Coturnix japonica: one gene and its partner. The protein of the gene in region 1 purifies or fractionates together with the protein of each later gene. This does not show direct contact. Links are inferred from orthologs where the notes say so. Each region holds a gene or a part of one and is shown on either strand. Other genes may lie near its edges.

The links.
Region 2: the proteins of BMP2K (region 1) and REPS1 purify together in Homo sapiens (affinity purification with mass spectrometry; 3 studies listed by BioGRID and IntAct, counting the BioPlex papers as one, with this or other methods). This does not show direct contact. The link is inferred for Coturnix japonica from reciprocal best matches to the Homo sapiens genes BMP2K and REPS1.

What each region holds. Positions count from the first base shown.
Region 1 is NC_029519.1:39,918,261-39,925,735, reverse strand, and holds part of BMP2K (BMP-2-inducible protein kinase), read right to left. Parts: intron 7,214-7,475; coding exon 7,110-7,213; intron 6,059-7,109; coding exon 5,979-6,058; intron 4,787-5,978; coding exon 4,626-4,786; intron 3,833-4,625; coding exon 3,654-3,832; intron 3,201-3,653; coding exon 3,105-3,200; intron 2,005-3,104; coding exon 1,817-2,004; intron 982-1,816; coding exon 824-981; intron 1-823. UniProt on the Homo sapiens protein: May be involved in osteoblast differentiation.
Region 2 is NC_029518.1:48,978,066-48,985,540, reverse strand, and holds part of REPS1 (ralBP1-associated Eps domain-containing protein 1), read right to left. Parts: intron 4,973-7,475; coding exon 4,851-4,972; intron 732-4,850; coding exon 651-731; intron 1-650. UniProt on the Homo sapiens protein: May coordinate the cellular actions of activated EGF receptors and Ral-GTPases.

The DNA.
Region 1 (7,475 bases):
ATATCCCACAAGGATGAATAGGTCACATGCATTTCTTGATCAGCTACAATTAACCACCCAGAAACCCACAAAGAAAAAGACATATGAAAGCATCATTTCTTTCCCCCCAGTTACTTGAAATTTAGCTTTACCGTGTTTTTAATTGCAGTAAACTTACTGAGAGTCAGTCAAGAATTCACAATATATATATTTTGACACAGCCACATCTTGTTAAGTCTTGCAAATGACAGAATTAGCTTTCAGGAAAAGCATCTAACACAAACATGTGTTAAGCAATTAAAAAAGTAATTCCAAGTAAAAACCATTGAGATAACTGACTTCAAGAGAAAAAGTTTATTCAACTAATGCCATATCAGAACAATAAAGCAGCCCTTACATGTAGCCACTCATCAAAAAGGACATTACAAAACATTAACATAATGTAATAGATCATTTTTCTTTCAGGCATTTTCAAAGGACATATCAGACCCACAAAATCTTCTGTTCTGGTGTGCAAGAAAAAAGCTGAAGAGGAATGAAGCAAGCAGCCAAATACCTCTGCTAGTCAGAGCTTTTTAACAATCAAGGTGACATAAGCAGGATTTAGAAGCCAAGATAGAGCCATTTCTGCAGTACTTCAGCCAGTAGCTACCAGTTTTAGACAGTCATCTCTTATTGCACACATTTCCAGAAAGAGAAAGGAAAGGAGACCGGCCCAACTCTGCCCTCAAATGCTCAGAAAGAATTCTGTACACAGACTGTACGGCCCTTCAGTAAAATAGGTGATGGTACTGCTGAGACCTTATTTACTGTGAAGCAAAATAAGCCTTCAAGTGTCCCTTACTTGATCTTAGCAGGTCAAATTCTCTGTCCAGCAGCTCCTCTTCTGTCAATTTGGAAAAATTGTCCTCTCCAAATGGGTTCCAGCCTGACATATCAGGTGGGTTATTGATGCTCTGCTTTGGGTAACTGGTAATTGACTCAGCATCAAGAATGCCTGACCTGCAAAGTCAGACCACAGAAAGAAAATAGAAAGGAACATTACAGGATTGTCAACCAGGATAAAAACTGATGGTATACCTTCTTATGCCAAAATGTTGCATACAGGTAACACGTTCTCTTTCAATTTTAGCAATAGTAGTATTTATGTGCTTATGTAGCTAACACTAAGTTCAGTCAGAACATCAGTGAAACAAGGCAAGTGTGCAATTTTTTTATTTATTTATTTTTTTTGAATGTTGCATTGCTCTCATTCCACAGTGAGTATTCACAAAGTCATTTTTCACCATACTTTATTAAGAAGTAAATGCGTGGACCTCTGCAAAGGGTCCTTATCGCTGAAATTAAGATACAATCCATTACAGAATACAAGTCAGACCACTGATAAGTGGATGGAAGAGTTAGAACTCATACCAAATTAACCAGAAATATAAAGCCCATTTTAAAACTATATCCTACAAACTGGATTAAAGAACAGAAAGTTGTAAAAATTAGTGTCTGTTGAGTGTCATATTAACTGCTTCATTAATTATGTGCTGCTGACCACCCAAAGCAAGGTGATTAGCAGTTTGTTTCTTGGAAGAAGTCCATGAACAAGAAAAAAACAAGTTAAAGTTTGATTTGGTTCATCTACAAATGAGATGCATCCTGCTCTCCACCCTCATGCCACTTAAAATATCTGTTAACACTAACACTAACTAAGCTTCTATTTATTAGTTTTAGCAATACGTGATGATTGAAGCAATTAACTTTCAAGAAAAGGATTTGGTAGAGCCTATTACAGTTAACAACAGAAAGCAAACAGCAACCCTTGGTATGTTTGTGTCAGATTACTTGCCTGGTTGGAGCATAGGGAGAATCTGCCACTGTTCCAGCATGTACTGGAAGTGATGCAGAGTAGGAAATTAAGGGTGGCGAGAAGTCTTGTAGAGAAGGAACATATTCAGGAGATTGCACCTGTTGTGACCGCTGCTGTTGCTGAGCAAGCATCTGCTGCTGCATAAGAGCCTGCTGATATTGCTGCACCTAAATAAGACAGTCAAACACATTATTATCATTCAGACAGGTCAACGTGAAGCTCTTATGCTAAGTAACAACACTGGCCTCACAGACAGCTTCATTAAAAACAACCATACACCAGAAAAGATCAGCAGCTTAACCAAAAGTCATGAACTTTCTCCCAACTTCTGAACACCTCCTGCCACACAGCTTTCCTGCTTTATCTGTAAATAGCACATATGCGTATATTTCTATTACGCTGCAGCAGCAGCATCACAAAGGGCATGCAAGAATATTTATATTCCACTCATAAGTAAACGCTGAAAGACTTCTCCATTTTAAGCAACAACAGACAAAATGCTCATTCAGTGCAAACCTCAATAAAATAAACTAACTAGCATGATAAAGCTTAATGGCAACTGAAAAAATTTCATTTTCTGTTGCACATTCCAGTGTGAAACTATACATAGCTAAGATTTCTCTGGGCTAGTTAGGTTTGTAAACATAATGTATAACCTTGGTTGAACTGCATCATTCCAGAACATTATTTCCTTGTGACAATCAACCTGGATTCTCCCTTTTTCTTTCTTTCTGAAGTACTGAAGTGGTCTAAGGACACCAACTGTATTTTGTTGGTTTAATTCTACTTGAAGACTCAGAAATTCTGCATGCTTTCCTCAGCAAATGCCGCACAATATGGCTCTGTACATACATAACAGTGCCTATAAAAGTAGTTTCTGGCTACCGGTACTTAGATGGTTTAACTCATTAGACATCCTGGGCTTGAAGTACAAATTTGATGCCGCTGTGGTTTTATCACTTTGCACAATAACTTCTGTTTGCTGCGGTGGTCATCACTGGAAACTTAAAGCATTTAGTATGTTTCCAGTTAGTACTTTACTGATCAAAGCTTAGACTACATCACATTAAATGCTGAAGTGCCAGATAAGCTTTCTCAATCAAGGCTGGATGAATCATTTTTTTCTCCCCTCTCAATATCATTTTAGATATTTACCAAGTCCAAAGCTCATAACTATTCACAAAACTTGTGTTACTGCAACTTCACAGTGTCTTACAATCATAGGGCATATCTGAAGACTGACAGTGACATCCCACTGTTGACATACCATAGCAGGATACTGAGATTGGGAAGGCTGCTGCTGGTACACAGCTTGCATCAACAGTTGCTGCTGGATCACCTGCTGGTGCACTGCTTGTTGATACTATATTCAAAAAGAAAAAAAAAAAGTCTTGAAATCATGATTCCCCTATTTAGCACACACAAATATTTAGACTCAAAGGGTCTACCCTACGCAAGCTCCTACGAGCATACCATTGTCAGCTAGATCATCCCAAATGTTTCTCTGGAGCATGCTTACACAGACAAAACCTTTATTTGGGCCAGCAAGCGCTGATTCCAAGCAAGCAGAAATTCTGGGTCAAGAAACAAAGGCAGGACAGCACAAAGAAAACAACTTCCTCATGTAAGTACTGCAATGCCTAGGCACGAGACAAATGTGCAAAGCTAAAAAGAAAGGGCAAGAGCTACAATCCTTCTCCCTCTCTCCTAGCATTAAGAAACCAAGTCATATTGTTTAACTAGCAAATGACTCAAAATGCTAACAGATACAACATACAGCTCTTTAAGAAATGTATTTAAAATACATGATTTGTACCTGCTGCACATAAGCCTCCTGAATTGTAGGTTGTTTTTGCTGGTGATGTAAGTGGTGTAGTTGCTGTAGTCTCCAGTCCCCCTGCTGCAGCTGCTGAAGAACTCTGTTCTGCTGTGGATGGTGCTGATTGGTCCCTTGAGACAGCAACATTTCTTGACCATTTCCAGGTCTTGGGGTTCCTGTAATATTTAGACAATACTACTCACATGCCAATTTCTAAACTTCAACTGTCCATTTACCCAGGCAGTTGGCATTAAGTGCTTCAAGGCAAAACAGTTTATAGTCCCCTTCCAAGTATGACATCTTGCATGCTAAGCTTACTGTATATTTCACCTTCTGTGAAGACAGTTGCAGGCTTATTAATCTACAGTGTCTACATCAAAGACATGAGAAGCTTCCTTTGCTCTCATTTACTGAGGAAGCTGGTTTCAGTAGTTCCACTTTCCTAGCAATTCACTTTTATCTTCAGTGTCTCAAACAACATTCATCTATTCTGACTCAAAACTGGGACATTACATTTTTGTCTATATCCTTATTAAAATAATCTGACAAATTCATCCTTGAGTGAAAGAATGCAGTTAAGTGCTTTTGGATTTTGCATACTTGGAAGCCAAGTAAATAAAATATCTGAACACAAGTCTCTCACAGTACATGTTTAAATACTGATTAATGCCTCTCAAAGCATTCTTCATAAGAAGTATTGGATGTAATCCTTTAGATTGCTGAGTTTTGCCATTCAGTTGTTTTCGCAGCCTCTTAAATCAAATCAAGCACAAATCAATGTGTCTTGAATACCTACTACTTGCACGTTTAGAGTCATCCAGAAAGGATGAAGATCTGGGGTTTTTTTGACAAAGTTGTACCTACTTAATTTCAAGTTTCAAAGATTACTGTTCAAAGATTAAGGAGGAAAATAAACTTGGAATGATTGTTTCATTTGCTTCATCCAATCCTTAGATGTTGGTCCATTACCTTTTTGCCCACGGTTACCAAATACACCAGGAACTTGTACTTTGACTGGTGTTGCTGAACTCTGGATCGTCAGAACACTTGAAGCAGCAGTGCTTGAATTGGCCTTTGGTCTTTGTCGTGGTGCAATTGAGGTTTCTGTTGGTCCAGTAGGATCTGTTATTCTGAAACATTTCCAGACGAGACTTCATTAAAAGTAACTGCTGTGTATTCAAATTAATAGTCATCTCTTTACAGCTCACCTCATCTTAAACGTATGCTGTTTACTTCTGAGCTCAATTTAAATACCTTAATATTTGTTTCCTACAATTCTTCTCACCACAATCATAAGAGATACGACTGCTGCTGAAGTGCAACAGCCTTGTTCTCCATGCAAATAAAGCACTAGATCTGATTTCTGTGCAAGCTTTCATTAGTTCACAGTAGTGAATAAAAATTACCTGGAAAACTAGAGGCAGCAATCCTGCAACTAGAGATAGTTACTTCTCGTACACACACAAAGTAAGATTTTTTTTTCTTAATCTTATCTGTTAATTAACCCCTGGTTTCATGACAGATTTACCATCTAGCAGTTCTATCGCTCATAAACCTCCCTAAATATTTGTGTCTTTCTGTAGAACATTAGCACTGCATCATGTTTTCCCAGATAAGGAAGATATTAAAAAAATGTCCTTTGGAGCTTTAACCCCACTTTGCCCAGTCACAGTATTGGCTTCTTTAAAAATTGCCTAACTGCTTAAAAACACAAATTCACCAGCTAAGCCCCAGTACCTAACACCTTATACTAGTTCTTAGCAAATTATATGTAAATGTTTTCTGCCTTAACCTCTGTATCTTATGTAGTTAGAAAAACTTAAGTAGGAAAATTCATGGTTCTCTCCCAGTAGCGCCTAGCAGGTGGAGCTGAAAACATTATTCCATTAATACTCAACACTTTCCCTTAATTGTATGTCACCAACCGACAGTAGAGCCAACAAAACCAATCACTGCCTTAGAACAGAATATCTATATCTATACAGCTCAAACATGGCTTAGATGAGCCCCAAAGGTTTGCTTTTCATTTGCAGAAGGCTAATAAAGTTGCAGTTGAGCTGATCATTATGGCTAACAATTTTAGTAATTAAGCCACATATTGGTAGACTCAGAGCTAAAACAATTATCAGTATAAAGGAATATTGAAATCTCATCAGTGGACTCTCAAAATAATTGAAAAAAATTTAACTCAGACTTTAAACACTTAGAAATGTCATTTATCTATTCTAATAAACTATTTGGATAATTTCTTTAATGAAAGAGTTTCAGACAAATGTGCAGTTTAATAATATTAAAAACTGTGAAGTCACATCATCTACTCACCTTGCTTTTATTTGGCTTTTTCTAGCAGCTGCCTCACTAGCTGTCATAGGCTCAGGAAGAGTTGAAGGGACAGGAGAATTCTGGGGAAAAATAAATGTGAAGAAATTAAAAGCACAAACTCCTGAAGAAATCATTACAAATCAAGAAGAAATAACCGAGTTCAAATCCTTGATGCTACAAGGTTTCATGCAGAACCCTGTCACATGGCTGTAGATTGAAAGTATTTTTACTGAACACTATTTCTATTTTCTGTTACTTATTAAGAAGTACAAAATGAAAGCGCTGCTGCCCTGACTCACTACCATGTCAGCTATTTCAGTTCATTCATGAACTACCAACAATGAGGTAACACACTTTCTTCATACACCTTTTGTCAACTGGAGAGAATAAAGGCTCATTTTATTTATGAGTTTAAGAATTAAAGCTAAAAACCAGACTGAAACAGTGGTAGTTTTTTTAGTCTATTCCGCTCTTCTAATCCAATGCAAAATTCACAAAACAACGCAGCATCTAAGTTTTTATGCTCCTTTAACTAATCTCTTACCGCAAATCACAACCTAATCATGTATCATTGTCATAAATGCACACTCCTCTTCTCATACTAGCCCTCATTTCTCTAGCCAGAGACACTGTCACAGTTTACCTGTCTCAGCTCTCACACTGTGTTTGAATTACACTGGAAGTCATCCACAGCAGTAACTGGAAACATAACCCCACCTCAGCAACAGTAAGCAAGCACTAAGATGCAGGGCTCAACAACAACAGTAAGCTCATCTTTAATTTACCTTCTCCTCTAACTCTTCCAACACGTGCAAGATCAAGCTGGCCTTTTCCACCCTCAGTGCTCAATGAAAATACCAGCAGGTAAAGCATTCAAAAACTCCTTCCTTGCTTGCACCAGCTGTCATCATTGCATTACAAGGCTTCAAGTTTTCATTCATTCAGTTCTAGTAAAGCCAAACCTTATCCTGATCTACTGGCAGCACCGAGCAGGGGGAAGATCAGACTATTTCCTTTTTATAAAACCTTCATGACCATCAATAAGTGCACCTCTGATTTGACTGATTTTTCTCAATGCTATCTATGAAAATCCCTGAATGCAAAGGAAAAAAAAAAAGAAAGACTACTTACATTAATATTGGACACTGGACAATCCTTTTTGGCAAGTTTAAAGGCAAAGTAAGATACCTGAAAAATATCAGGTCTCTGTTCTTGATCTGGTTCAAGCATATATCCTGCAAAAATTGATAAGAACAAATTGTCACTGTTTGACAGCAGAAGCCTACTGATGCAATTTGCTAGCAACCAGAACACATTCATTCAGCTAACTCTACCAACCAAGTTTACTCCAAAAAGAATGATTTTGTTCTTTTTTTAATGCTTTTTGTCAAGTCAAATAGTTTTCAGGGTCAAATATGACTGAAAAGGATGCACACTGATTGATATTTTGAATATCAGCTGCAGAAAGGATAGATAACATAAGTACTAACTTCAAAT
Region 2 (7,475 bases), on another chromosome or scaffold:
TGCAAAACAATGTAGCAGATCTTTGGCTCCAAAGCTTGATAAGATCCATCACCATTCAAAGCATTCCTCATTAAGTACATCATTACAAAAGCATAGATTTAGCTGGAAATATAATTAATATGTAATGAGATAAAAAAAAGTAACTAAATAAAAATTATAATAATTAAATTGGTGAAAACACTGGGGTTTCATACATTACATCCATGAAAGTCTGCCAGCTTTTTCAGTTGAGTAGGAGTGTTGCCAGCACCTATGATTTTGTATTTTGCAGCTTGACAAAATACTAAAGATAGATTCTGAAAAAGGGACTAATATATGATTGGGTGTTGCTCTTCAGTTTCCTTACATATTCAAAAAACAGTATGTTTAAATATTTCCTCCAATACAGCTTTTGACAACAGTGTTGCATTAAAATCAAGAAAACAAACATTTGCTGCACTCAGATATTAAATGTGATCAGTACCAGAAAAATTCTATTCCTAAAAATAAGCAAAATAATTAATAAGCTTGTTATCATTCCCCCCCAAACAAGAAAGGAAAAAAAATATAAAAGGAATTCAAGGAATCATGCATAACAGCTACATACAATGAATAGAAATTCAGTGTTAATAAAATTAATTTCAAACAAGCAAGCTAAGTGATTGACTTACAGGATCAGCTGGTGCAATGTTAGAATCAAATTGGGTCAGAGTTTGTGAGCTTGAAGAGCGTTCGCTAAATGTCTCCCACTGCTGAACAGACAGAGGAGAGAAATCAGCATGATGAGAAAGATGGGAGTAAAAGATCACCAAGGAGACTTAGCATAGTAGTTTGGAGGTTGCACTGGAAAGCACTGTATTTGCACTAGGCAGTACTTAGAAGTTATATTAACACATACTGAATCTTTCTATTTTAGTTTGAGACTGCACTGCAACCAAGTTTGTTACCTGTCAGTATTCATCTTTTACATTCATGTTTCATAGTGAAGACAGGTGTACAGTTAAGTCAAATACTTTCAGAGTTCTTGTAAAAGTTACACAAGTATTAAAAAAAACGTTAAGCCAATCAAATATTGTTGAGATTCTGTGCCACACATCTGTGACTGTAAAATCCACAGAGATTCCTCAGCTTTGTAGTTGCCCAGTTTCAAATATATTTGGGAGGCACTGATTTTCTTACAGAATCTCAGACAAATTGACACTGAGCAAAGTGCTCTAATTATACCAGTCCAGCTTGCTAGTGCAACCCCTGAGAAATGATTCTATTCTGTAAGAGTATTTTTACAAGTCTAAATCACTGACATGGGAAAGAATTAAACTCAAACATACCACTGATTGTTAAAAGCAAATTAAGTACAGTTTTTCAAGATATAGGTGAGCTGTATCAATACACAGTTGTCAAGAGTCCTCATGCTTAATAAGTCAAATTACTGTCACAGCTGGATTGATGAAGTAGCAAAATACATAACAGTAATCTGTGATCCAGAAACTAGATAACAAATCACTACAGGATCGTTAAACTTGTATTCTGGCATAATAACAAATATTAGCCAAGTTTCAAACAAGATTTGTAGCACTCAAGAGAGACTAAAATGTTAGTAAGGTCATAAAAACAAATTAATATTCTTGTCCCACATCCGTACGTAAATCAATGTGCATGTTTTCAGATGATACAGGGCACAGTATACTTTGTTAGTCAATCTAATATCATGCACTCTCCTACATGAAACCATACTCAGTGTATGTGTGAGCCATATTCAGGTGCACCGGTTCCTGTAGTGTTTGGAAGGTAACTTTCTGACAGGAGGTGAAGGAGTCAATGAGGAAAGCTATGCTGCTAGACCTTGTTCTTACAAATAAGGACTGGTTGGGACCGTGAAGGCTGGGGCAGCCCTGGATGCAACAAACACGAGACAGTGGAGTTCAAGAACTTAGATGGATGAAAGAAAGCAGTAAGTAGGATTGCAAGGCTGGGCTTTTGGAGAACCAGCTTTGACCTCTTCAGGGACCTACTTGGAGGCATCTGGTGCGTTAGAGCATTGCAAGGTAAGAGGACATTGCAGGTCAAGGGAAGTGATCCTCCCCCTCTCCTCTGCCCTGGCAAGGATATGTCTGAAGTGCTGTGTCCAGCTCTTGGCTCCTCGGTTTGAGAATGAATGGGAACTTCTAGTGGAGGGCCACAAATATTACGGGACTGGAGCACCTCCCGTATGAGGAAAGGCTGAGAGACCTGTGACTGTTCTGCCTGGAGAAGAGAAGACTGAGAGGGGATCTTATGTTTAATTAACATCTAGTGGGCAGGAGTCAAGTGGATGGGGACAGGCTCTTCTCAGTGGTACACAGTGACAGAATGGCTATAAGCACAAATTGGAACACGTGAAGTTCCATACAACATGAGGAAAAACATCTTCACTGTGTGACAGAGCACTGGAACAGACTACCCAAAGGGGTTGTTAAGTCTCCTTCTCTGGAAATATTAAAAACCCACCCAGATGTTCTCCTGTGTAAGCAACTGTAGGGAACCTGCTTTAGCAGGGGGTTGGACTAGATGACCTCCAAAGGTCCCTCCCAACCCTCACAATTCTGTGATCCTGTCAACGGCCCACATGTGAAACTAGCCTAAAGTAGTACTTGAGAAATAGGTCTTCATGGAAATTCCTAAATAATAGTTTTCAGTCAGCCAAAATTAATTAAACATAATCAGAACAAGACTCACTAAAGTATTAAGACCCTTCACGTGTGGTGCTGTTCCTTGAAGAGAAGGAGTCCTATTTTTTAACAAAGGCAAAGGCTATGACGTCATTCAGCTGGTATTTTTCCACAAAACTACTCTTTTCTAGCAAAAATGTAAGCTTTCCCCTTCCTTTTACACAGTTGCTCATTTTATTATTTATTATTTGTCCTTAGGGTCTATAGCTAGACAACAGATGAACATCAACACCTTCTACTAAACCAAGGAATGAGGTGTTAGTGTTTCATTCATCCATCCTGAGATACTACCAGAAACTAGTTTCTTCTAACTTCCTGCTGCATTGTAAGCTACAGTGTCTACTGAGTGGCATCTGAAATGGTAAGATCAAAGAGCAATGACGGTAATACTAATTAGCTAGGATAAATGTCCCATTAGTTGAAAATAAAATACCTGTCTTTGAGACTCACAAAGGTCTCTCAAAGATACCTTAAAAATGTTAATTACTGAAAAGCAGAACTCAGAACAAACTGAACTATTACTGAAAGAACATCTAAATATCTGAAACAGTTGTGAACTCCAAAGACACTATATCTGTGTCAAAGCTAATATGACACCTGCTTTCAATGAAAATTTTATAGGCTTTCCAGTTTTTTAAACTCTTAGAAGTGTGTGCAGCACTGGCACTGAAACTGGAAGGAAAAGGTTTCTGAAGGGAGAAACGAGAGATCGGTAGATTGTAGAGATGGGACTGTTAAGCATGCATCTATCTAACCCAGACAGATTTTTACAAGATTCTTTATTTTGAAGCTCTGACACCTTGGTCCATACTTTGTGAGCTGACACTACCTGAGCTTGAGAACTGGAGTGTAAAAATCAATTGTGAGCTAGAAAAAGCAGAGTAACCCATGTTTTTAAAACTAACTGGGATGCAAATTGCTTGGAGAGGTTGTTCATCCAAAGCCGCATAGCTTTGCAAGCAACTCATTTGTTGATGACAGTTGTAAGAGGCTGAAAGAGGCTACAGACTGCTGCCTGCTGTAAAACCAGAAACTTTTTCACGGCAATAAAACCTTGAGTACTTTGACCTGATTCTTGCTGGAAAGAAAAAGTTGCAAAGCAAGCATGCATAGCAATACAGCTAAGAAATTAGAATAATTGGAACAAAAAGCTCTTAATATTTAACTCCTAGTATAGTTAATGTTTGGTAGTATATTTATCCTGAGAATTTTTCCAAACCTCTTATAACTGAACTGATTTTCAGAAGAAAATATCACATTATCTAGTAGAACAGACAAAGTCAGTTTTGTAAAGAAGATTTTGATTGACAACCAATGATCAGCAACTTTGCACTGCTACTTCACTTCTTCTATTCAACTGGTTTAAACTGCAGATATAGCATCTGTTCAACTATGATGCAGCTTACCAAATCAGGGATCTTCATTGTAAGCATGATGGAATACATCATACAAGTTTAAATATATTTGCAGACATTTTGTCCTTGCTGCAATAACTGACTATCTGTTCACTTGACTGGAAATACATACCTCCTACTAGCAGACTAAGAGTCATTCTGTCAAACAGAACTAAGAATCACTATGCCTTGTATTTTTTTATCTGGTAAAGGCACCACTGTAAGGCTTGTGCTTGTCCTTAAAAGGAAGGATAGACTCTTACCAGGTTCTTCTTCCTGAGAGATGAAGGAAATTTCCTCAGCTTTTAAACTTTAATCATGAAAAAAAAAGTTTTTTCTGTTTAACATCAGTTCTGCTTAGATTTGTCTACATTTCAGAAGCTTACTCTGAAGTTCTGCATAACTTTTGATTGTACAATCCTTCAGAGTTACAAAAGAGAAAGCACCCGGAGAAAGAAAAAAAATCAACTGAAGTTCTCCAATAAGTACGAGAGGAGATCATTTAGGGATGAATATGAAGCTTAATTGCTATTAATGACAACATTTTAAAACTTATCTCACCTACCAATCAGGCAGAAAAATTGGAAAGGTAACACTTTTACAATTTCAAATGTATAGAACCTTCCTGTGTTTTAGTGTCCATTGTCCTCCTTGAGTTTTTGTCAATGCATTCACAATCGGTGATTAACAATCCACTTGTGAATTATATATTTTCACACAATTTAGCTATTGACAGCAGCAATTAAATAACTTGCATTGAAGTGCTAACCTCACTGCTCTGATTCAATTCTGGCCAGGTCTGGTTTAGGGATGGCATTGATGGAGACTTGCTTGGAGGTGCTTCTGCTGGAGAGCTGGAGTAACCAACCTCACCGGTTTGTTCCCCAACTTCTGAAATGAAAGCAATCACTATAAGTCAAATACATGAATTGCATTCACAAACAGCCCTTTTGAGAATAAAGTATCTTACTCTAAAGTACCACACAGTTCCACTTTTTCAAAGAGGAGACAAAACAAACCAATTTGAGTTAAAGATGCTACCCTTATATTGAGAATCTTAGCGTTTTCTTTCACAGCATTTTGCAAACTGAACCAGCTTAACAGCTGTTACCTTGCAAGTGTACGTTGTTATTCTAATTCCAGTTCTCCCTGGGCTTTTAGCAAATAGAATTCCTTGCAGAAAGCCTTCCCTTACAGGAAAGCAAAAACTTGTAAATTTTGTAATGGACTGTTAATTTTTATAAACTGCAATAAAATTGAGTTAGCTGAAAATCATTAACTTTAATCTTCAGAACAGAACTCACAGTAGAGTTCATTTCAGCTGCAGATCTCACATTTCATCAAGACTAGTGCTATTAACACATAAAATACATGTTTAAGGACTTGGAAAGAAGTATCTGTACAACTGACTTCATTATCCTAGTTCAGTGCAGTTTCCTTCTACAGGTTGTTTTCACACAGACATTTGACTTGTTCTGAAAAGCAGACATAACCTACTTAGAAATACCACACCACAATGTCAAATCTTAAGTGGAGCTGCTACAATCCAGAGATTTCTTTGAAGAATATGATCAAATTCAAAATACTAACCCCATTTAAATCTATTGTGGAATTACTACAGTGTTTTAAGAACCTAATGTTTCATTTATTTCCCCAGATCAGCACAAATATAACCACCTCGTTGGAAAATTGTTCTTTTAAAATTCTGTAGGGGTGCAGACAAATGTAATATTGCATAACAGCTCTATGTCACGTGAGAGAAATGCATCTCTGGTCAGAAAAGCAGATGTAAGACAAGACCAACACACTAATGGATTTGAGACACCTGCACTTGGTCACAGATTCATACAAGCAGGAACGGCTACCAGACTATGTGGCAAGAGTCTTCAGTGCCAGTCCAAACAGGACAGTGTTAGACAGAGCACTGTTACTTCTCTTTCTCTTGGCCACTGGTTCAAAATCAAAACAGAAAGGAGACAGCATTGTGAGCACAGAAGTGAAGCGATTAATGAAAGAGTTTCTAACAAAAAAAAAGGACAGAAGTAAATAAGAGCATTGTTTATGGTCTGAAAAAGTTTAAACTTCTATCAAAATAAAGGAAACAAAAATCAAGTAATTGACATTCTAAAAGCAGTCTTAAAGTATGATATGCACAATGCATATCTCCATTGCAGATGCTCCCGTTGAGCAGACAGCCTAACATACACAGTATAACCTGCACATAGACCTATTAGCAACTTATAAATATACATTAAAATAGTAAAATTGGGATTTGGACTGTTGTAATTACAAGCAAAGTTACAGCCAAACCAGTAACCTCCCTTTATATATTTAATTCAATGTACATGTTCTGGTGACAAATCCATGTCAGGTACTAAAGAAGATTAGCTGTTTCCAAAACTAGAGGCCCAGATAAAGAAAAGAAATAAATTAATTGCATAAAACACAAAAAGTTTGCAAGTTATTTCTCACCAATGCCTTTAAAAACATCAGCAGAATCAATTATCTGTTATATTTCTGTACTTTTATTTTTAAGCATAGCATACACAGCATAATAATCTTTCAGTCTTCATCAGAACAAAGCAAAATTCCTTTAAGATAAGAGGGAAAAACATTCACTACTTTTAGAAGTAGTTTTTCTTCACACTTAAAGACTACTCTGTACTTCCTGAAATTTTATCACAGCTGCCCGTGAAATAAAAATGATGCTTTTTAGCTTAATGTCCACTTTATAAAACTTTCAAAGAACTTCAGTTATATGACAAAATCCTCAACACTGTCTATACCAATCAAAGCAGTAGAAAATCAGGTATGGATGTAGGCATTTTCATGGCTATAGTTGTTTTCTTACTCCATTTCCTGACAAGAAGTTGCTTGACAATCACCTTGACATAACAAGAGAGTGGCTAGTTTTTAGATAACTGTGGATACTTCTAATATGTCTTTGCCATAGTAATGTGCTTACTCATACTGAAAACACTACAGTTGATGCTGGCTGCTGCTGAAAGGCTGAGGAGCTGAGTGAAAAAACATTGGTTTAATTATTAAAGCAATGCTACAGTATCTAGTTTAAAAGCTCCTCAATAATAGCCAAGTGAAAGTCTCTGACATCCTACACACACAGTAGGAAGGGATTCCTCCCTATTAAAATATTTAGTAAGAAGATAGAGCTAGAAAGCCACAATACTTGTACACCCACTTGTGCACCTTCCAGAGCCAAGACTGCTTAATGTTCTTTTTTTTCTAGTCATTAAATTCTGCTTTTTTGAAAAATATAGCATAGAGAATACATCAACAACAAATGGCGCCTAAAAATACACTTCCTCTAAACATATGATGGTAAGAGATGGTAAAGTAAAAAGGCTTCAAGTTTTATTAACTAATAAGAATTGAA